Drosophila melanogaster: one gene and its partners. The protein of the gene in region 4 interacts with the protein of the main gene of each other region in a pairwise test. Each region holds a gene or a part of one and is shown on either strand. Other genes may lie near its edges.

Region 1 (5,632 bases), on a different chromosome or scaffold from region 4:
TGCCGACTGTCTTTGCCAGATTTCGAGTGTTTGGACTGCCTGTCGATGCTTGAGAAGCAGTTGTAACTGTGACTGCAGATGACTCAGATAGTAGTGATACTGCCGCTGGAACTGCCTTTGGTTTTGAAGTGTGTATCCGCCAGAACACATAAGCAAACGTAGTTGTCTGGGCCACGCTGCTCCCAACTGAAGCTGGAGAAGCGTCTGCGCGTATGTGCTGGACTGCTGCAGATGTCGCATTGGAGGCGCAGGTTGAAGGGAATGTATTTGACCCGAGGCATTGAGCAGTAGTGTATGGTAGTCGCCGCAAGTCGCCTCAAGCGCCGAGTTTTGTTCTATGGGTAGTGCTGCCGTGTTTTCCGTAATTGTGATCTCCATGGGCGAGCTGACATCTTCACCCAACTGAGAGTGGTTGTTCAGGCCCCAGTGGTAGAGCCTTCCGTCCAGAGTGCGGGCCACCGTGTGCTCTAATCCAGCTGCAATGCTGCACACGCCCATGCTGTCTAGTTTCTGCAAGCGCATCACATTGGCCCTCCGGATATGATCCCCACTGCCCAGGAGACCATTATTGGAGGCTCCGAATGTGAAAAGTTGGGTGTGGAGCAGAGCGTATCCTTGGTGAAGAAGGTGCCTTGTGTTAGCCGCAACGCTGCGCTCCGAGTGGCCACTGCTTATGGATTTTACAGAGGCCCGTTCATCCTCGGGTTCTTCCTTCGCACTGGCCACCGACAGCTGGAGTGCATCGTCGGCCAGGTTGTAGGGAGCTACTAACATCACAAAGTGCTCGTTTCCGGCTGCTAAGTCCAACAGTTCCTTGCCCTCTTCGTAAAGGCGCATGTGCCGAGGCTGTTGTTCTGCCTTGAAGACTTCGCCGCAGCTGCCCATGACATAGGTCTCCCCACTAGCGCCGACGAAGACAACGCCCTGGGCGGAGCAGCAAACCCGTCGGATGCGTACGCCCTCAGCATGCAATTCGAGAGGGTCGAAACCGAGGGTTTGCCACGCATGTGGATGACCCACATCCCGGCCAGATCCCGTGGCTTGGCGCTGCACAGAGCCATTGGTGAGGACTACGAATAGTTCCTGACTGCCGGAGCAGAAGTCCATATCCACAACATCGGTACGCAGGAGTTGAAGATCCATGTGTTCGCGGTTGGCCTGCAGCTTGGCGGAGTAGAGGGCGTGGTCAGTGGTCAGAAGGAGCAGTTCCCCGCCGGCATTGCTGCAAATCCGGGATGCGGGAAACCGCTGCAGGGGCGGCAATCCGCGCCAGTGAAGCTGTAGCTCCCTGCCTTCATGATAGATGGTGAAGGACTCCCGCTCCTCCTGACCCCCAAGTGCCGAGTCATCCGCTGCACTGGCCATGATGTGCAAATTTTTGTTGGGGTTTTGGACAGGGCCAAAGCTTTGTAACACGACGCAATTGCTCGATTTGTCTGCAGGTCGTTCTCACATCGTGCACGTGCTCCGGTCCACGCTAGGCACTACTGGCACCAACGAACATCATATAACTTGATTCGGAATGCAACTCTAGCTGCCACGATAAAATAAATTCTGTTTTCACTTGTTCTTAACTGGCTAATAAGAATTCATGTTTTTGTGATGGTTTTTTGGATTAGTGTGACCAGCGCTATCGAGTCCCAATGAGAATTTATTAAGTAAGGGTGTTCGGGTAAAAGTGACGTTCTAAAATTGGGCTTATCACTATTTATTTGGTCCATGCAAATTGTTGTTTTATAACCAATTTTGAAAACACACATAATACCTTATACGTAAACTCAATATTGTAGTTAGCTAGAACTCTTATATAAATTTAAATAACTCCTTAGTTGCATTCGCCATAATCATGGAACCAGTCAACACAAAAAAGTTATTTTGGTATTTTTTTGCGATACATCAATTTGTTTTAATATGGTCATATTGTTTTTGCCATCAGCTGTTCGACTCAAAAGTTTTTGCATGTTTTGTTTATTTCGCTTAAAATGTAGTTTTATCGTTAATTAGGAAAAGTTACCCACGGTAAAAAAAAACAACCGTCAACAATTGTTCAGAAACATCAACTAGTACGACTCAGTGGACACCTCCGTGTGGTACTGCTGGTTTGCATACGCCCACAAAAGTTGTTTTAAGCCACAAACTCACCCTCCTAAAATAAAATTTTTTCAGCTCGGTTATGGATTTGGACTGCGAGGGCGCTACAGCTTTGGCTGACGACTCAGGGCACTTTAGCTGCACTAGCGATGATGGAGTAGGAGATCCTGCTCAGAAACCGGCGCCGCAGCCTGAACCGGACCAATCGATTTTTCTGGTGCGGCAAGAGCTGCTTCGGACGCGCAGTGAGGTGCAAAGGCTCTTAAAATCGGAGCAGTGGTACAAGCAGGAGCTTAAGTCCCAGAAGCACAGCAGGCTACAGACGCTAGAACGATTGTACGCACAGGAACGGAAGTATTTGATGGAGAACCAGAAGCTGCAGCAAGAATCGATCCGCCTGCACACACAATGCGCCACTCTGGAGAAGCAGCAGGAGCAGGGCTCACCATTTTCCCCTGGCTCATCGCCGTTTAAAGCAGACTCGGAGTCACACGACTCCTCTTTTGAGGCCAAACAGCAGGAGGCGCGCCTACGGGATCAGCGTCAGTTGATCGACGTGCTCCGAAGGCAAAAGAAGATGCTTCTGGACGACATCCAGAGGATCAGTCTGGAACACGATGAAAAACTTTCGCAGTTGCAGCAAACTGTTGTCGGCATGGAGCTGGAGAGCAAGCACGTGACTGGAAAATGCAAGCAACTACTTGACCTTAAAAGTCAAATGGAGCACCAGCTAGAGCTAAGAAGCACTACCCTACGCAGTGTCACCGCGGAGCGTGATCAGCTGCGCCAAGTCATTGCTGAGCTTAACGAGACGCTGCAAACGCAGGAGCATCTGTTAGCGCTAAAGGAACAGGAGTTCCTGGATTTGAAACAGTACTACCAACAAAAGCTGAAACGGGAGAGTAGCATGGAAATTATGCACTCTTATAGCATGAAATTTCACGAAGAGATCAACAGAAAAACGAGTGAAATTGCCAGCCTTAAGAATTCTCTTAACGAGCTTCAGGCCGAGCTGATGCTGATGTCTCACATGAAAGAGCAATGCGAGGAACAGCAGCGTCAGCTTGAGCAACTGGAGTTCGCATTGCAGGCACAACTTTTGGAGGAGACTCAACTTCGGCAAAGCAATGCTCTAAAACTGGAGCAGGTGGAAAATTTAACAATTTCTTTGGCTTCGTTACAACTAGATAAGGAAGGCTTAAAAGAAAATTTAGGTGAGGCGCAAAAGACCTTGAAAAATCTACAGCAGAAGGTGGACATTCTTCAAAAACAGTATGCCGAAATGTGCTCCTTGTGTCAAAAGACTAAACAGCAATTGGAACTGGAGAAAATCGAGATTGCCAAAATGAAGCAAAACGGTTCCTTAAAGGAAAGTGAGCTAATGGAGAAACTCAAAGATTATGCAGCGCAGTGTGATGAGCTGAGAAAAGCGTTGGCCGAAGCAGAGTCCCGTATCGATGTCCAAATCAAAAAGACAGAGGGCTGGCAAGTGCAGTTGAAACACAACCAAGCGACCCAAACGGACCTCGAAGATCCGATTTTAGTTCAACGCATTGAGACTTTGGAACAACAACTAGCGGATGTCAGGAGCCAAAAATTGCACACAGTTTCGCTGCTCCAAATACTGCTTCAACAGCAAGAAGCTAAAATCAAGAGCACTAACGAAATGGAAGCAGACTGGCAACAACTGTTAGATGCTCTGCAAGCTACTCAAAGCTTGGAGCAGGAAATGCGATCAGAACTACAGCATAAGACGGTTGAATTGGAGCACCTGAATGAATTGTTCGCTGGACAAAATGATGAACTGCAAAAGCTCCAGAAATTGAGCCAAGCGCAGGACGAGGAAAATCGACTAGAGTTACAGCTTTTGAAGAAAACATTCCAAGAGAATCTGAAGATAAACTCCGCTGCGTCGATTAACATGCAAAGGCTGCAAGGCCAGGTAAAGTCTTTGCTAGATGAGAAGGAGGAAATTGCGCGAGAAGAACGCAAAGCAGTAGAGTGTTTGCGATCTCTTGGTCACGTTCTTGAGATGGAAACAGGAAGGAGGCTACCACATATAAAAAGCTGGCCTCAGTTGGCCAAAATTCTTCGAAAGGAACTGCGAAATGGGAGGGTTAACAATCGAAAGGCTGAAGAGCTTCCTGGGCTTAAAATGAAGCTGGCGGAGATCAGCGGAAGGCATCAGCAAGCTTTGTCAAAAATTAAGGTATGTTATGTCTTACTCCCTTAAAGTAACTCTTTGTAACACAATTAATTGCTTTTTACAGTGTCTGGAGCACACTTTGGTAATGGAGCGAGCGCGGTTTGAGGCCTCGGACTCGGGCAAATCGACGGCTAGCAACACGCCCCAGGAACCCGCCCATGAAGTGGCTAATCTTATTGATGACTACAAGAAGGTAAGTATGTTCCCCTCCGATTGGCTTCTCTTGACATTTCCTTAATTGATTTACAGCTCGTTCAGCAAACCGCCAATGAAACATGTCGCCCTCGCAACAGCTTCATATTCGATCTGATTGAGCGGAGTCAGCGATGCCAACCGAATTTGTGCCAATTAGGCGAGGGTATTTCCGCCTGCCAGTCTGATATGAAGGAGCTAAGCAGGATTATTATTGCTGGTCGGGAACGGAGGAGAGTGGAGCCCATGCCCTCCCTCATGGATGAACTTCGAGCGGTGGCCGAGCACTCTTAGACGAGCATAATTTAGTTTTCAGTCAAATACTTATAAATTTCCTATTTAGTACCTATTTGTTTAGTCTCAAATTTTGTTTTCCTAAAAGGGGCAATTAGTGAATTGAGTTTTTGTGCCTAGTCTCATAGGCCTAATTTTCAATCAGATCCAACTTAGTTCAATTTATATAAATATTTATTTTGTTGTCTTTTGTGTTCGTTATCTTTATTTATGTGTAACGCATTCTGTTAGTTTCACCAATTCTATATACATACTAATTGCCAAACTATACCAATATTTTTTCTACAAGATATATAAACCATTGTTGGTTGCCACAAAAATGTGTAATTATTTTTATAGTCCATAACATTTAAAGTTAAAAACCTTGTGTAGATAAAACATATTTGTGTGAAGTCGATCAGTGCACATCATTTACTTTCGTGGGCACCTAGGGATTTTAGTACCATCGTTCTCCGAAATAACTTCCTTTTTGTCATATATCGTATTTCCGTTTTCATCCACGTCCAGAACTTCCTGTATTACCCCTTTTCGAGTTCGTGTTATCCCACACATAGGCTTATCGTTTTTATCCATGCACAAAATCAGGAGCTCAGTGTGCTGTAGATCAGAGGGCTTTAGGACCTTTGTTACCTTACAAGATGCCGTAAACTTTATGGGGCACGTCACCCCGGCACATTGCCAACCATCTGGGGGGAAATAATTATTAACATAGATGTTCCAATACTACTCGTATCCATGTAATCCATACACTTAGTCTTCTTTACCGTCGCTCGATTTAAGTCCTCATTTAGGTGCCGATCTCCGTCTGCCTTAAAATAAATGTACGATCCATAATACTCCATATACGGA
Region 2 (4,175 bases), about 12 Mb from region 4:
ATTGCCGGGGAGCTGCTGGTGGTGCAGGCCGGCGACGAGGATCCATCGATGATGCACGGCCACGGTGGTTGCAGCGGCAAGCAGAGCAAGAGCCTGGACTCGGTGGCCGCAATGACGCCCGAGGAGGAGAACAGGAAATGCATGAACGACTTCCTTAACAAGATAGACAACACCATTTCTGAGTCGCGCAAATATGTGGAGCGCTCTAAGGAGTAAGTATTTCCACCACTCAAAAGAGACCCAATCAATCAACATTTAAGATCATTCAGCTGTCAATATTGGTATTTAAATCAATTAATCATAATTTGATAAGCTGACAGAACCAATAGAAACTGGAAGTGATAGGTGATGAAGTGATGAACGAGTCGCTAGCTTGTAGAATTCTATCTACATCAACTAATCATTTGCTTATTCCTTCCAGCCTGGTCAGCAGTCAGAGTGATGCGGACATCTGCATCAGTGCCACCGCCGACGTTTTCCCGCAGCGCCGCCATCCGCTGAACAACTCCTACAAGACCAACAACAACGACCGTCCGTCGCAGTATCAGCGCCACAGCTCGACGGGCAGCGGGAACTCCTCGGATACGGCGCACCTGCTGAACACGACGCAGACGCGACGAGTCCAGAATTCGCTGAAGCGGCTGGAGAAGCAGCAGGACGACTTCTTTGAGTTGTAGCGTCCGTCTGCGGGACGCAATCTAGCCTAATTACGCAGAGAGTTAATTTTACAATTCGTTTTTAATTGCCGCGCATTGGGGAGATGACTTTGGTCAGCATGTTACATCACACGGAAATGCCGCACTCTAAATGTAATATAAATAATGATATCTATCGACAAATATGCGCGATACCTTACCTATACGATAAAACATTAATGTAACTGAGCTAAAACCTAAACTAAACTATATACCTAAACTAAGCGCTGCGCTATGTAAACCTGTAGTACGATGACAAGGCAGTTCTGTAAACCCATTTTGATCTTGTGTCAGCCCTGTATAATTGCCGCCAATTTGCTTGCAAGATCCGATCTGAACCGCATCGAACAGATACGGAAGCCTTCTGTCCTCCTGTCCGCCCTCCTGCCCCCCATTATGTTTACTTTTTGTATGACTCTAGCTTTAATCACACTGTGTATAATTTAGTTATGAGAATTATTAATGTTAATTGTATATAGTCGCCAGAAAACACAACAATCCAACTGGACTGCTCTGACCGCTAAAACACGAAATTGGCCAACTGTTGACGTGTAATTTTAATTTATTTTTTAGCTTTCCAAAGTATTAAACCCGAAACGTTCTATATAAAACCGTAACCTCAATTGTTAAACAAGCATCCACCACAAAACAATATATACACCAATATATATTATGTATATCCCAGAAACCTCAATATCGAACTGCACTCATATCGAGCCAAGTCATGTTGTACGTGAGAATGTTTTTTAAAATAAAGTGAGAATTGTGTTGGAACAAATGCTGTGGGTTTTAGTTATGAATGAACCTGCCACTAGCTTCGAACTGCCCATGGAAGCGATGGTTGGTCACTGTAGGGAAGTTCACCTGTTTGGTTGCCAGGACAACGTAGCCGGGCCAAACAAAGAAAACCGAAAGGATAGTTAGCCACATTTCAATTGAGAACGTGTGACGAAGATGTCGGAAAAAGATCTGGATGCGATTATTTTGGAGACCCAAAAGGTTTTGGGCAAGTACATCAAAAAGCCACCGCTCACGGAGAAGCTGCTGAAGAAGCCGCCATTCCGATTTCTAATGGATGTCTTTAGTAACGTAAGTGGTTGGAAATCCCTCACCCCTATAAAAAGATTGAAAGTTGAGCCTCATTTGTGGACAGTTTATCAAGCAAAGTGGCACATTTGATGGATTATACACGCCGGAAGAGCAGATGTTCGAGAACATAACCAGTCGGGAGGATAAGATTCGATTTCTGCAGAAGATGATCGATGCAACCAGTGAGTTTGGCTTACAATGCTGGTGCTCTGAATTAGCTACAAGGTGTTTGCTTTCGCAGAACTAACAACCAAACTGGATCTCAAAGTACGCACTTCAAAAATAGTTGCTGGCCAGGAACCGGAGCTCACCAATGAGCTCCTCCAGGCGATGGCCAGTGTTGCGGAAAAGAACTTGGAGTGGGACAGCATTGTGGATCAGGTGGTGATTTCCCACAGCAAAACACCACTGACGCTTACCAAGCCACCGAAGGAAACTAAAAATTCAAGCAAAAATCCCTCACCCGCCGGCAAGGATGAGGATGCAAAGCGACGCAAGGAGAAACGTATATCGCCTCAAGAGCAGAAGCTGCGCAAGGTCAAAGAACAGGTGTCCCGTTCTACTCCCCCCACCGAGAAGGATAAAGCATCCCAGAAGAAGTCCAAGGCACCCAAGGATGAGACGAAGTTAAGTCGACAAAACTCGAAGCAAAAGAGTCCGTCACCAGTTAAGCAGAAGTCCAAAGCCAAACTGCAGCCTTCAACAGAGAGCGATAATCTTAGCCAGTCTATGTCGCCAGTGGAAGAAGGATCAACCAAGCCTGCTGCAAGCGAAAGTGCTCCAAGCAAACCAGAGCCGGAAATGGTAAGAAAAATAAGTTAATTTGCTTTAAAATTAGAAATCCATAAGTTATGCGTATACCCAAACAGGTTCCTCCATTAAAAGAGAAGGAGGCAGTGGTGAGACCTGTCCAGGAAACTCCAACTGCTCCACCAGCTGAGCCTGAGAGTCGCAAATCCTCTAGCAGAAGTCGCCGTTCTAGTGGCAGCCACAGGCAACCGGAACCTAATCCCATTCCCAATGAGAGCCAATCCCAGCCAGCGGTGCAGTCGTCAGAAACCAGCTCTCCACCGGAGACCAACAGCGGCGAAGCGAAGCGGGAGGTTCCCCTCACCAGAGAGAACTCTAAGGAAGTGAATCAACGGCCCAGAACCTCACTTAGACCTCCATCCGCTCGACCCGCCTCCGCACGTCCCGGAGCTCCACGACGTCGCAATGTGGAGATCGTGCTCCAGCCAAACGATCAGATCAAAATGTCGGGCATAAATGTAAAGCTTGAAACCTTTGGCGACTTGGACGACGACGGAGAGAACCTGGTGATCATAGAAGATTCCGCCGCCCATGATATTGTCGAAGGTGGCGGTGACGAACCGGCATTGGAAGGACAGCTCGATGCCCAGGGACGATTGGTGCAGCAGATCTTGGAAACGCAAAAGGAACTGGTCAATCAAGGCGCCGAAGTGGAACCGCCTCCAGCACAGGCAGGCCGACAAACTTCTGCGCGCCAGGTGAACGACGTACGCGACGTAGTCCAAAAGCTCACCAAGTCGATAGGTCCGCTGGGTAAACTACTGGACTGCATACCCGAGGATTTTGATGCAATGCAGCTGGAGCTTACGATGTGGCGCGACACCTACACGCAGGCATCCACGGAACTAAAAAGGGAGCAGACTCTCACGGCATCTGCCACGGAGCCCCTGCAGCATCAGTTGCAGCAAATCCAAGCCAGCATTGCGGAGTACCGGGAGCTAATCGACGAGAGTCGCCACAAGATCTTGCAAAACAACGCACGTATTCTGAAGTTGATGATGGAACAGTAAGCATTGAGGATTAATAAGCATTGTTAAAAATTCAAGAGAGTTTTATCGAAAATATTGAATTTGTATATTTTATAATTAATAAGAGTACTATAAAAATAGCCATGCATATATTGCTTGGTAACATCATTCAATTCAAAAATATATAAAATCTATATAATAATATCAAAATATCTTTGATATGTAATATGTTGGTTTGTTTGTTTTTGGGTAATTTGTCAATGCGCAAGATGTCTGAATATTCAAGCAACAGACGGTAAGTTTCTCTTTTAAGGTCACTTGGTGTTTGTACCAAAACCAACGATCTTAAAAATACAAATGTTGTAAAAATCATCAACGATCAATTCCTAGAATATGGTTTTTGTGCGGTAATTGTACGCATGCATCAAGGGCTGGAAAATCAAGCTTTCTCTTGTTCGCCTACAGGTTTTTTCTTATTTTCCCGGACCACCTCCTCTGAGTTATCCTTATCCACAGCTTTCCCCACGATCTCCTTCTTTTCAGATTTCGCCGAAACTTCCTTCTTTTCCGGTTTCTCTCTGATTTCATTTGTTTTAGTTTCGCCTGTGACCGA
Region 3 (5,859 bases), about 20 Mb from region 4:
ACATCTTTCTTCCTCTGATTCTTAGCCACATAGATAAGCTCCTGAGTGAGATCAACACCCCTCCGCATACTTCGTACAGAATTTTTCGTCCCTTCGGCACAAACGCTGTCACCATCGTAACAATAAGTAACGTGATGAAGGCGGCTATTGTCTTCAAAGGAGTGCTTATAGAGTGGGTTACGGTTAAGGGATTCGATGAGCCGCTGGAGCATGACGACCTGTGGGCCGAGTCACGTTACGAGGTGTTCCGCAAAGTCCAGGATCATGCTCACTCAGCAATGCTGCATTTCTTTTCGCCGACGTTGCCCGATCTGGCAGTGAAAAGCTATATAACCTGGCTGAACAGCCACGTCAAACTTTTCCTGGAGCCCTGCAAGCGTTGTGGGAAATTCGTGGTGAACGGATTGCCTCCGACGTGGCGGGACCTGCGCACTCTAGAACCCTTCCACGAGGACTGCCGAAATTGCTAAGGATTTTTAAGTAATTTAACGCCGATAGTTGTAACTTGTATACTTCATTTATTTCAAAAACAAAAATTATATGTACTTTGAATGCATGCGGGCGGATTTTTTAAAATCGCTGCGCCCGACTGAATAACTACAACGGTTTAATGCGTTTCATTGGCCAACCAGTGCAGAAGTCGTCCGCTTCGATTTCTGCACCTGCGTCTGAACGCCGTGCTGCACGCACAGTCGCTCGAAGTTGGCGCGCAGTTTTGCGCGGAGCTCCTCTCGCTTTCGCTGCACTTGCTCCCGGTGGCACTTGAAGGCCATAACCACCTCCTGGGGAATGTAATATGTCTCCTCGTCTTTGTCGTCGTATTCGTCGAAGTCGTCCTGCAATTAATAAAGTTTTATTACTTTAATTTCGATATGGCAAATCATTTGCATAGCCCACTCTGTCTAGAATATTTTCTGGTAATTAATTCCGACCCTAAGCTCTTGATGATAAGAGTCGACAGGGCTTGCCGCAAGTCTTAGATTATGTTTAAAAAACAATAATTACAATTTTCTTTTTCTATTTTTCCACTTCCTATTTTTATAGAGACAATCTTGCGACTCACCCACATCTGCAACAATGAAAACTTGTGATCCAACTGCGACTGGTGACTGTAGAAGAGCAAGTCGTCTGAGTCCTCATCGTGGACGTCGTGATTACACAGTCCATCCGAGCAAGACACTTCCGAGCCTTCTGGTGACGAAATCGCGCTAGATGTCCGAGAGCCGGCATGCGAAGGTGGATCGCTGCCGTATCCAGAATCGCGCACATCCTGCTCGCACGGGCAGTTAGGCATGGACGCCAGGCACTCCTCGCACTTATCGCCAACCGTTTTGGCGATGCTTGACGAAATGCAACTGGCCACGTCAAGTTGATCGTGATCAGCATCCAGCGGCTGGACCCTAGCCGTGGCTTGCATCTGCTTTTGGTTGCCCATCTTTGTGAAGGCCGCTTTCTTCTGCTTCTTTTTCTTCGATTGCTTCTTCGGTTTCGATTTCGTTGGCTTGGACGTTAGCTCGGGTTCGGGCTCCGGGCTCCGGGCTGCCTCTATAACAATGCCATCGTCCGCACCTGGATCGCTTAGCTCCTCATGCTGCATCTGACTCTCCTCCTCCAGGTCTAGTTCCTCATTCCGCAACTCTTCCTCCTCCTCGTCAGACTCGTTGGCCTCGGTATCGTCGCATTGCCGGTGCAGCAAGTTCTTTTTCTCGTCCTTCTTCTTCTTCTTCTTGAGCTTCTTCTGCTCGCGCTTGATCTGCTTGGCCCTCTCAGCACGGCTGATCTCTTGGTAGAGTAGCTCCAGATTGCTGATTCCCTGCTTCTGCTCCACGAACGTGTCAAAGCTGCGGCAAAGGGCGTGGACACCCACAGCGGCCAGCACCTGGCATGCGCGCTCCTCCTCCCGCAGACTGACGTAGATGCGACGCAGCCGTTCGTACATAATCATGCCCACGCAGGTCAGCACCTCTTCCTGGGCAATCTCCAGCGTCTTAGCGTGGCGCTCGCGCAGTTTAGAGTAGCTACCGTTCACCTCGGGCTCGGCCCGCTTGATCAGCGCGTCCAGGAACTCTATCTTGTTTGTGGTCACGTGGATGTGCTGGTCGGGCACGCACTTCCGAATATGAGCGTACAACTGGGCCGCATAGCCCTTCTCCTTGGACGATATTTCACCAATGAGTATTTTGTAGGCGCGCTCAATCTGCAAGAAAAGTGAGAAGAAGTTTGTTTAATAATATTGTAATGTAATCAATTTTTTAGGATATTTTGATAGTCAGCTCCGAAACTGTATGAAGAACTGCATTATAACTTTGAAAACTAAAAGCGTCCAAGTATTTGTTTTAATTAACTCACATTAGCAAACTAATGGAATCAATTCAGGTCATTAATTTTAATATCCTATATCTAACCTTTGTACGGCAGCCAGAGCAAAACTTGTGCTTCTTCAGGTAGTTCTCCAGTACGTCGTGCAATTCCTTTGTCTCGATGATGGTTAACTCGTTGCGGCAGTTACTCTTCATGGCGGACCACACCTCTCGCCATGTCTCCGAAAAGGGTTTGGCACGAAAGGCGTCCAGCGAATGAAGAACGCAGCGCGTCTTGTTTCGCAGTTTGTTGTCCAGCAGGTTGTTGAGAACCTCATGGTGCCGGTAGAGCAGCGTTCCCAGTGCCTGCGGAGTCTTAAGCTTCTCCTCCACAATGCCCAGGGTGGCAGTGGGTCGCAGTTCCAGCGGATCAAGTGTTCGGTGCCCCGTCTCGGTTAGTTGGTGAAACAACCGCTCTACGCGTCTGCGGCAGCCAACGCACTGGACACATTGATTGAGGACTTCCATAAAACTGGCACTGTCGATCTCCAGCGATTGCCGGCGCTCGGCCTCTGTGAGCAGTTTGAATTTCCGTGAAAACTCCTCCAGTTCACGTCCGCGGATCAGCGGACTGTCGATCACTAGACCTTTGCTGTTCAGGTCCATGAGCATCTGCAGAGAAAGTAGAGAATTTAATCAGGGGAGGTTATGGTACATAAATGGTATTGTGAGTATCTGATCTATTTGATCGAATGCACTAGTTAGCAAAGAACAACTGATATGTTTACATTAGTATTATAAAGAACTTTTATCCAACGCTGTAAGTAAATAAATAATTAGGATCGCGATCCAATGATATTTGCGGTGAAATGACCGACAGTATTAATATAACGTCTAATTGTTTGCATTAAATATAATAATCCGAGAAAACATACAATACATACAAAACAACAGCTGTTCTTTGAAAAAACTAACGGAGCTCTGGACACTGGCATAAATCCACCTTCAAACGTATCGATAACAATAGGGGTCGGGTGTGCAACCGATGTCATTAACTAGAGATTTTGGCCAGAGAATCTGAGCCTGAGAGATCATCACCTCTAGAGATGGTGACGGAGTGCATGCGATGTGCATACAAACAGGTTCGTGTTGTTGCACTTTCCAGCAACATGGCGGCCGTGGCCAGGGAGGCGGAGAAAGAAGAGTTCGGTGGGTGGTGACAGGTGCAGAATCATAATTGCAGCTCAAGTTCAATTAATAAATGCACGATACACACCAATTCAAAGCAAAGAGAAGCGAACTCACACTTCGTCACCATCCGCCACTTACACATAACAATCCGCCGTGTTATGAAAGTTTTTGGACCAAGTGCACGCACACACTCACAGCGGACGTCTCTGTTGTGTGTGCGTCTGTGTACGTGTGTTCTCTGCTGGCAGTCATTTTCTTTGGATAGACGGCCGTACATATAGCGGAAATCGGTGCGGATATATGCTTACCATTAATTTATCGCCAGCCACCAGGGGCAAATTTCTGCGACCAACGTAACCGGAGTCGTCGTCGTCCGTGTTGTAGACCTTTGTGAGTCTGGCCATTATGGGTAATTTGACTTCGCGAGCCAACGACGGGCAAAACGAAAATTCAGGCACTTTGCGACACAGACACACACTTTTCTCTAGAGGTCCGGGTGTGGGAAATGGAGATCAGAATCGACTGGCGTATGGCAGCAGCGTGCGTATTCACAAATAGTGTTTTGACAACAATATCCACTCTCTGCGCAGTTCGAGTGGCTTTGGGAACGCTCTAGAATCGGCTACAAAAGTGTCTTCTATGTCAAACACGTAGTAGGCAGCAAGTCGGTCCGGTCGCCATTAAAACGGAGCAGAGTTGCCAGTAGGGGGTGTTGATAATATATCAATGTATCGAGGTATCCAAGCGATATATTAGTATTTATATCGCGATATTATATCTGCCTAAGATCGTGAACACAATATATTTTTCGAATATTTCATTATATTTTCGGACTTGCATCTTAAAATGTAAACATAAGTTAGTCAGTGGTTTTTCAGTCAAATACCCGCATTAATATTCGTAGCATTCGAATCTCTTAGTCGCATTACTGTCATTCACTTTTCTTAACGGCTATTTTTATTGATTGAAAATTATTTCCAGAAAATATTGTAAGAATAATGTATTCTTTGCTGAATGCTGATAAAGAAAACCTAAAACTGGTGACTGTGTAACTAGCGGAGGCAAAGTACATTTACCGTAAGTAAACTAAAACTAAAAATAAAAAATATGATTTATTTATTCAATAATTTAAAATTAGTTGGATAGGCCTGTCTGGCAGCACACTATCGCTACGCTACTATCGCTACGCTACTATCGCTACCACAAACATATCGAGATCAGAAGAACCAATTTTTGCTGAATGTTTAGTTTTTAAATATTATTAAGAAAAAATAAATAAGAACCTGAGAAAAACAGTGGTGACAACTCTTACAAATCTTTCAAAGAAATAAGATAAGCATGCATAAAACTGACAATTAAATTGTAAGGCCATAAAGATAAATAAAATTGATTCAACTCCTGACTGCTGTTATATATCGATAACATTGCAATCGAAGCACACGCTGGTGTCCGCGTTTCGTCGTGAATTCCTCAAATTCGCGTTGTTCGGAAAGTTACTAGTTATTTGCAACGCGGCGATTTGCAGGTCGTTTTTACCTATTTAGTCTAAGCATTAGTACACCCACCACCGCGCCAATGCCAACACTCTAGAAAACACGAGTAAGTAGAGCTTTGCGTGGGTAATAGCGTCCAACTAATACGCCCACTACGCCTTCATCTGTGTGTGTGTTTGTGTGCGGGCGAAGACATTTTTTGCAGCCAAGCGGAAAAAGAGGCATTGGAAAAAACAGCCGCAACATGGACGTATCCCAGCCGCCACCGCAGCTGCTCACGGCGCCCTCGGCCCTGGCCACCAACTTCACATCGCTGCCCCCGCCGAACATGGGCGGCCAGCACTACCGTCACTACCATCCGCACCATGGGTCCAACAAGCACGGCTACAACCAGTTCAAACCCTTCATGCCCGGCGGCTTCCAGCGACCCTTCGGAATGTCCCAGGACGACTTCGACGGCAAGCGACTGCGAAAAAGTGTGATGCGGAAGACAGTTGACTACAACGCGTCCATCATCAAGGCACTGGAGGTGATTCCATAGGTCATTTAGAATGGAAGTAGATTGACTGCGAAGTTTTGATTTGTAGTCGCAGAGAATTGTATTGTTATTATTATTATAAGATCAATTCACCCCCATTAAAAAAGTTCATTTCAAAAACCATTACTAGAGCTACACATTTAAAAGGCCAATCGCTATAACATTTTGTAGGTTAATACGCGGTAAGCCCGTTACCTGGGCTACCATTTTTAATTAGTTTCGGACCTTGTTATGTCGATATCCCATTTTAAAATTTCAAAAATATATTTTTGTTTTCGCAGAACCGATTGTACCAGCGGGACTATCGGGACCGTTTGGCTTTGCAGCCGGACAGCAT
Region 4 (4,960 bases):
GCGAATGCAACAACAAATGTAATTTTAAGTTGTCAGTTTCCTTACCTCCCAACGTCCCTCCAAACACACACCACACACACACAAACACAACATACGAAAAACACAAAACACATTTGCATAAAAGGTATATATATATATATATATATATAATTATAAATGAATATACTTAGTAAGCATTTTAGTTAAGAGTTTTACATTATAAATTAAACACGGAAACCACTTTCGAAACACTCACTCGCATTGGGGGTCAGTAGTTAGAAGCTCAGAGCAGTCCGCTTTGCTTGTATGTAATTTGAGAAAATGTGTAATGAGAAAATCGAGGAATTAATTGTGTGAATCAAACTCAACTCTTCAGAACCAAGTGTAAAATCCTATATTTTGAGCAGCTAAACCCAACACAGAGAGAGCCGCATCAACAACCGAAACCGAAAAGTAGAACACAGCTAAATTGTTTAGTGTTTAGAGTATATATATGAAAAACAGAAAACGAATCGATTTATATATATTTACAATTATATATATAATGCGAGCGGCGAAATTGTAATAAGCAAGAGATAGAGTGCAGCACACGCTTCGATTTTTAATTTTACAAATATTATTATTATTGTGGTTATATATGTATATAATTATATTATAAATAATTGAAGCAAAACGAAAAAATAAAAAATTATATGTAATCGAAAGTAAATCCCACGGCGTGCATCTAAAACACATCTGTGGTGTAGACGCTGCGCTGGCGCGGCACTGGAGCACCTTGCTGGCGGGACATTTTCGTGTGCAACTCGCGCAATCCCTCGCACTGGCGTCCAGAAATCTGTCGAAACTTGTCGATGGCGATGGGCAGCAGGTTGTCCACCAGAAAAATCTTGTTCTTCATTACAAAGTTGGGCTGAAAATGGCATTCTTGAAGAGAGCGGTTTTATTTAAGCTGCTTTCTAACTTACATCCACGGCCATGTCGCTGGGCGGTTTCAACGAATGCTGGGCAATGAACAGCTCCTTAAGAAGCAGTTCCAGGCTCTGCAGCAGGGTTTCGCACTTGGCCAGACAGCCGCAGTACTCGGTGAGCTGCAGGAAGTGTCTGATGAAAACCACTGTCGACTGGGTGAGATTAATCCATGTGTCGCCCGTCGCCTGGGCTCGCACATCGATACCCAAGACATCGAGCTCCAGGAGCAGACGCTTCAGGTTCGACTTGGTCTGCAAATTGTACGGCTGCCAGCTCTCCTCGGTGCGACCCACGGAGTCCAGCAGTCGCTCCTTGGATTCCTCTATGAGCGACTCGAGTGTAGTGCGCAACAGACCTTCCAAATGATAACTAATGTCCAGCCCGATCTCTGTGAGCTTTGTCGAGGGCTTGCGCACTCGCTCCACACATTTGGCCACTGACTCCAGGGAGGTTCCCTTGGTCAGGTAATGCTTTATCAGTTGGCTGGCAAAATATTGCAGCTCCGCATTGCACCAAACCACGAGCGCTGCAAGAATTAGATAGTAGTAATACTTAAATGTAGACAGAAATAGGAATGAAGCTTACCGCTAACGCACGCCGGTTGCTTCTCAAAGGCGGTGAGAAAATCACAGGCCACCTGCGTCAGGTCACAAAAGAAGAGTTCCGATATATCCGCATTATTCCTGCGCGCCTCCCGTTGCGCCACCCGCAAACTGACGGCGCAGACCTTCAGCAGAGTGGCACTCGCCTGCCGATAGCGACCCATCTCTACGAGAATCTTCAGAGGCCGCTTGGCTGCTCTCAGAGCGATCTGCAGATTGCGATTGTGACTGTTGGACAACTCCTTGAGCAGCACATTGATCAGCTTCAGCTCCTGCTGCTTCACCTTGGTTTCAATGGCGTCCGCTAGTGGCAACTTCTTTCGGTTCTCGTTTCGCAAGAAGTCCTGGGTTCGCTTTATCAGCTCCTGGGCATCCTCGAAATGCCGTTGGGCCACCAGGGTCTGAATCTCTTCACTGGCCGTGCTTAGCCACTCGGGCGTCTCATCCTCCAGGGATTTGGGCTGTCCGGGACTCTGGGGTGTGGTTTCCTTCTCCGGAGTCGAAGCTTTTGACTGCTGTTTGGCCCGAGTTGGAGGCTGTGGCGCCTGGCCCTTTTTTGGTTTCTTTTGCTGGTCAAAGCGGAAGGCCTCTTCGAGCTTCTCTATCCACTCCGTCTTCCCAGCAGCCGTGATGCTTTGATAGATCTTGGAACCATCTGGAGTAATGATATTAATGGCATTCTTAACGCCATCCAAGTCCTTAATGTTAATCACGGCTATTTTCTTGGGGTCGTACTCGGTGAGGAAATCCAAGCGCCTGAAAAATATTACTATTAGTTTTTGCTATATGCTTTAGTATAGGAAAACCTACTTATCATGCTTCACTTTGCAGACAATCAGTACATCGTTGAAGAGGAAAAAGAAGACCCTTTGAATGGGTCGATAATCATTACTGTCCAACTCGATTAGAGCTCCCTCGTTGAGGAAGGTCTTGCCTTCCAGATTGCCATTGAAGCCCTGGACCATTTCCTTGACCGCCCGCGTGGCATGGCTATTCTCCAGATCCTCCGTCGCCGTAGTGCTCTCCGCCTCCAAACTCTCTGCCTTCAGGTGACTGGAAGTCTTGCCATCCGTCATGGTGGCCAGAATATTGCGCTGCTCAATCAGAATGTGCGACAGTTGATACATTTCCGACTCGAGATCTGCGATGCGAAAATATTAACATAAATGTATATTGATATTGGGGGGCGTAAACTACGTGATATCTCCTTGGCCGTCTGTATAAACTCCATATAGTTCTTTTTGCATGTTTGCTTGAGCGTTGCTGCCGTCGTTTCGTTGTAGGCCTCGATTTCCTTTTTTCGCTGCTGCAAATCGCTGCCACCCACACATTCTCGTGTCAGGTCCTTGGTATCTGGGAACGTTGTACTTATTAGTAGACTGATTAATGCTAAATAGACATAGGAATACTTACATTTCTCAACGCTAAAATTAAAATCGTCGAACTCCTTCATGATTCTGATTGGAATGTAAACTGCAGCTGACGCAGAGCCATTCACAACGAACGAGCGTCATCATGAGGTGTCGATTGTAAGGTTGCTGATGCTATAGAAAATGCCATGTTTTCACTGCAGTTTTCCCTGGTATTAGATAAATCTATAAATCTAGAACATTTTTATTTAGTTTTAAGTAATAGGAGATTAATTAAGATTTAAAACCTATGAAAAGTTTTATTCGAACTGAACGGCTACGTCAAAGACCTTTTAGAGATCAACAAATTTATTCGCATTTACATTTCGGATTTTCATCTTAGGTATGATTAGGCGTTGAAGCCCTGAATACTTTTTATTCGAACTGAACTTTTAAATATAAACGACTACGTCAAAGATCTACGTTAAAAATCAAGAAGACATATGTCTATATGTATACTATTCATTACAATGTGTGTGTGTTGTATTGTAATAAATTAAAATTATTTTCCACCTGTTGCTAATTCACTAAGTTGAAGTGTGAACAGTTCTTTCAGAGTGCACCGGCAAAGCTTCTTCTTCCCACTAGCACTATTCGCATGTAAGCGCCAACACGTCTTGGCCACCTTAGAATCGCGCACACCCTTCGCTTATTGTTTTGGTTGATGAGTAATCTTTAGGAAACTCCGTCATTCTTCGTAATTAAATCTTGCAGTTAAGATATCCTTAAACATGGACTGGCTATTCGGCAAGAAGATCAGCCCCGATGAGATGCTGCGTAAGAATCAGCGGGCGCTCAACAAAGCGATGCGAGATCTGGACCGCGAGCGGATGAAAATGGAGCAGCAGGAGAAGAAGATTATCGCGGATATCAAGAAGATGGCCAAGGAGGGTCAAATGGATGCCGTGAAGATCATGGCCAAGGATCTGGTGCGCACGCGGCGGTATGCCAAGAAGTTCATGCTGATGAAGGCAAACATCCAGGCGGTGTCCCTCAAAATTCAGACGCTCAAGTCGCAGAACACAATGGCACAGGCCATGAAAGGTAAACATTGGCTATTTGGCTGATTCACCCGCTTATCAAGCAATTATGCTTATCTTCCAGGTGTCACGAAGGCCATGCAGAACATGAACCGCCAGCTGAATCTCCCGCAAATCCAGAAGATCCTGCAGGACTTCGAGAAACAGTCGGAAATGATGGACATGAAGGAGGAGATGATCAACGATGCCATCGATGACGCCATGGAGGACGAGGGCGACGAGGAGGAGACGGATGCTGTTGTGTCCCAGGTGCTGGACGAACTGGGTCTGCAATTGGGCGAACAGCTGGGAGACCTTCCTTCCGCCTCCGGTTCCCTTTCCATAGCCGGCGGCGCTGGCGCTCAGAAAGCACAGGCTGTGGCCGCTGGTGGCGTTGGCGGCGGTGGAGCCGCCGGCGGAGGTGGAGCTAGTGGTGGCGGCGCTGGTGGTCCGGGAGCTCCCGGTGGCAGTGGTGCCTCATCGCCCATGTCCGATGCCGATGCGGATCTTCAGGCGCGCCTGGATAAGCTGCGCAAGGATTGAGCCGCTACTAAGAACCACTGCCTGTCCACTTTATGTAAGAGCCACCACCCGTTTGTATCTCCCAGAAGCGAATGTTATATTAAAGAGAATGCTTGTGATTTTCGTTCCCTGCGTGTTTGAAAAATCGATGAGTAATTAGCATTTACAAGCTATAATGGAAAGAACTGGGTAGTGCTGCAATCGCACAGCCTAGCTACAAACAAATTCGCAATACTTGTTACTTTAGAGCTATACAATATTCGGTATTTTAAAAGATATGTACGTTTCATGCCTGTCTTCAATAAAATAAGAAAAAGGAATTTCCAAATCATGAAATTATATATATATGTATATACATATATTCAGCTTTAACTATAAATGCAAAATTGTGTTTATCTGAATAAAAAGAAGTACTTTCCTAAATTTGTACTATTGGGTACTATAGAAATATGTAAAACAC

The links.
Region 1: the proteins of Exo84 (region 4) and CG11248 interact in a two-hybrid assay, tested with the Drosophila melanogaster proteins (one large-scale study listed by BioGRID).
Region 2: the proteins of Exo84 (region 4) and IFT54 interact in a two-hybrid assay, tested with the Drosophila melanogaster proteins (one large-scale study listed by BioGRID).
Region 3: the proteins of Exo84 (region 4) and CG2182 interact in a two-hybrid assay, tested with the Drosophila melanogaster proteins (one large-scale study listed by BioGRID).

What each region holds. Positions count from the first base shown.
Region 1 is NT_037436.4:21,678,134-21,683,765, forward strand, and holds CG11248 (uncharacterized protein), read left to right. Parts: upstream 1-1,916; 5' UTR 1,917-2,019; exon of another isoform or gene 2,020-2,099; intron 2,100-2,166; 5' UTR 2,167-2,173; coding exon 2,174-4,300; intron 4,301-4,361; coding exon 4,362-4,490; intron 4,491-4,546; coding exon 4,547-4,783; 3' UTR 4,784-5,098; downstream 5,099-5,632. Other genes in the region: Als2 (amyotrophic lateral sclerosis 2), read right to left, coding at 1-1,365; Sfp78E (seminal fluid protein 78E), read right to left, coding at 5,195-5,469, 5,532-5,632.
Region 2 is NT_033777.3:14,300,807-14,304,981, forward strand, and holds IFT54 (intraflagellar transport 54), read left to right. Parts: upstream 1-1,621; 5' UTR 1,622-1,649; coding exon 1,650-1,784; intron 1,785-1,848; coding exon 1,849-1,966; intron 1,967-2,025; coding exon 2,026-2,588; intron 2,589-2,653; coding exon 2,654-3,604; 3' UTR 3,605-3,652; downstream 3,653-4,175. Other genes in the region: red malpighian tubules, read left to right, coding at 1-212, 422-677; su(Hw) (suppressor of hairy wing), read right to left, coding at 4,002-4,175.
Region 3 is NT_033777.3:5,655,736-5,661,594, forward strand, and holds CG2182 (uncharacterized protein), read right to left. Parts: upstream 4,178-5,859; 5' UTR 3,896-4,177; coding exon 3,800-3,895; exon of another isoform or gene 3,742-3,799; intron 2,973-3,741; coding exon 2,406-2,972; intron 2,198-2,405; coding exon 1,064-2,197; intron 837-1,063; coding exon 618-836; 3' UTR 501-617; downstream 1-500. Other genes in the region: MED27 (mediator complex subunit 27), read left to right, coding at 26-470; Wdr33 (WD repeat domain 33), read left to right, coding at 5,229-5,513, 5,804-5,859.
Region 4 is NT_033777.3:26,049,227-26,054,186, forward strand, and holds Exo84 (exocyst 84), read right to left. Parts: upstream 3,032-4,960; 5' UTR 3,004-3,031; coding exon 2,964-3,003; intron 2,904-2,963; coding exon 2,745-2,903; intron 2,692-2,744; coding exon 2,361-2,691; intron 2,307-2,360; coding exon 1,534-2,306; intron 1,475-1,533; coding exon 945-1,474; intron 890-944; coding exon 704-889; 3' UTR 505-703; downstream 1-504. Other genes in the region: Vps2 (vacuolar protein sorting 2), read left to right, coding at 3,691-4,003, 4,064-4,521.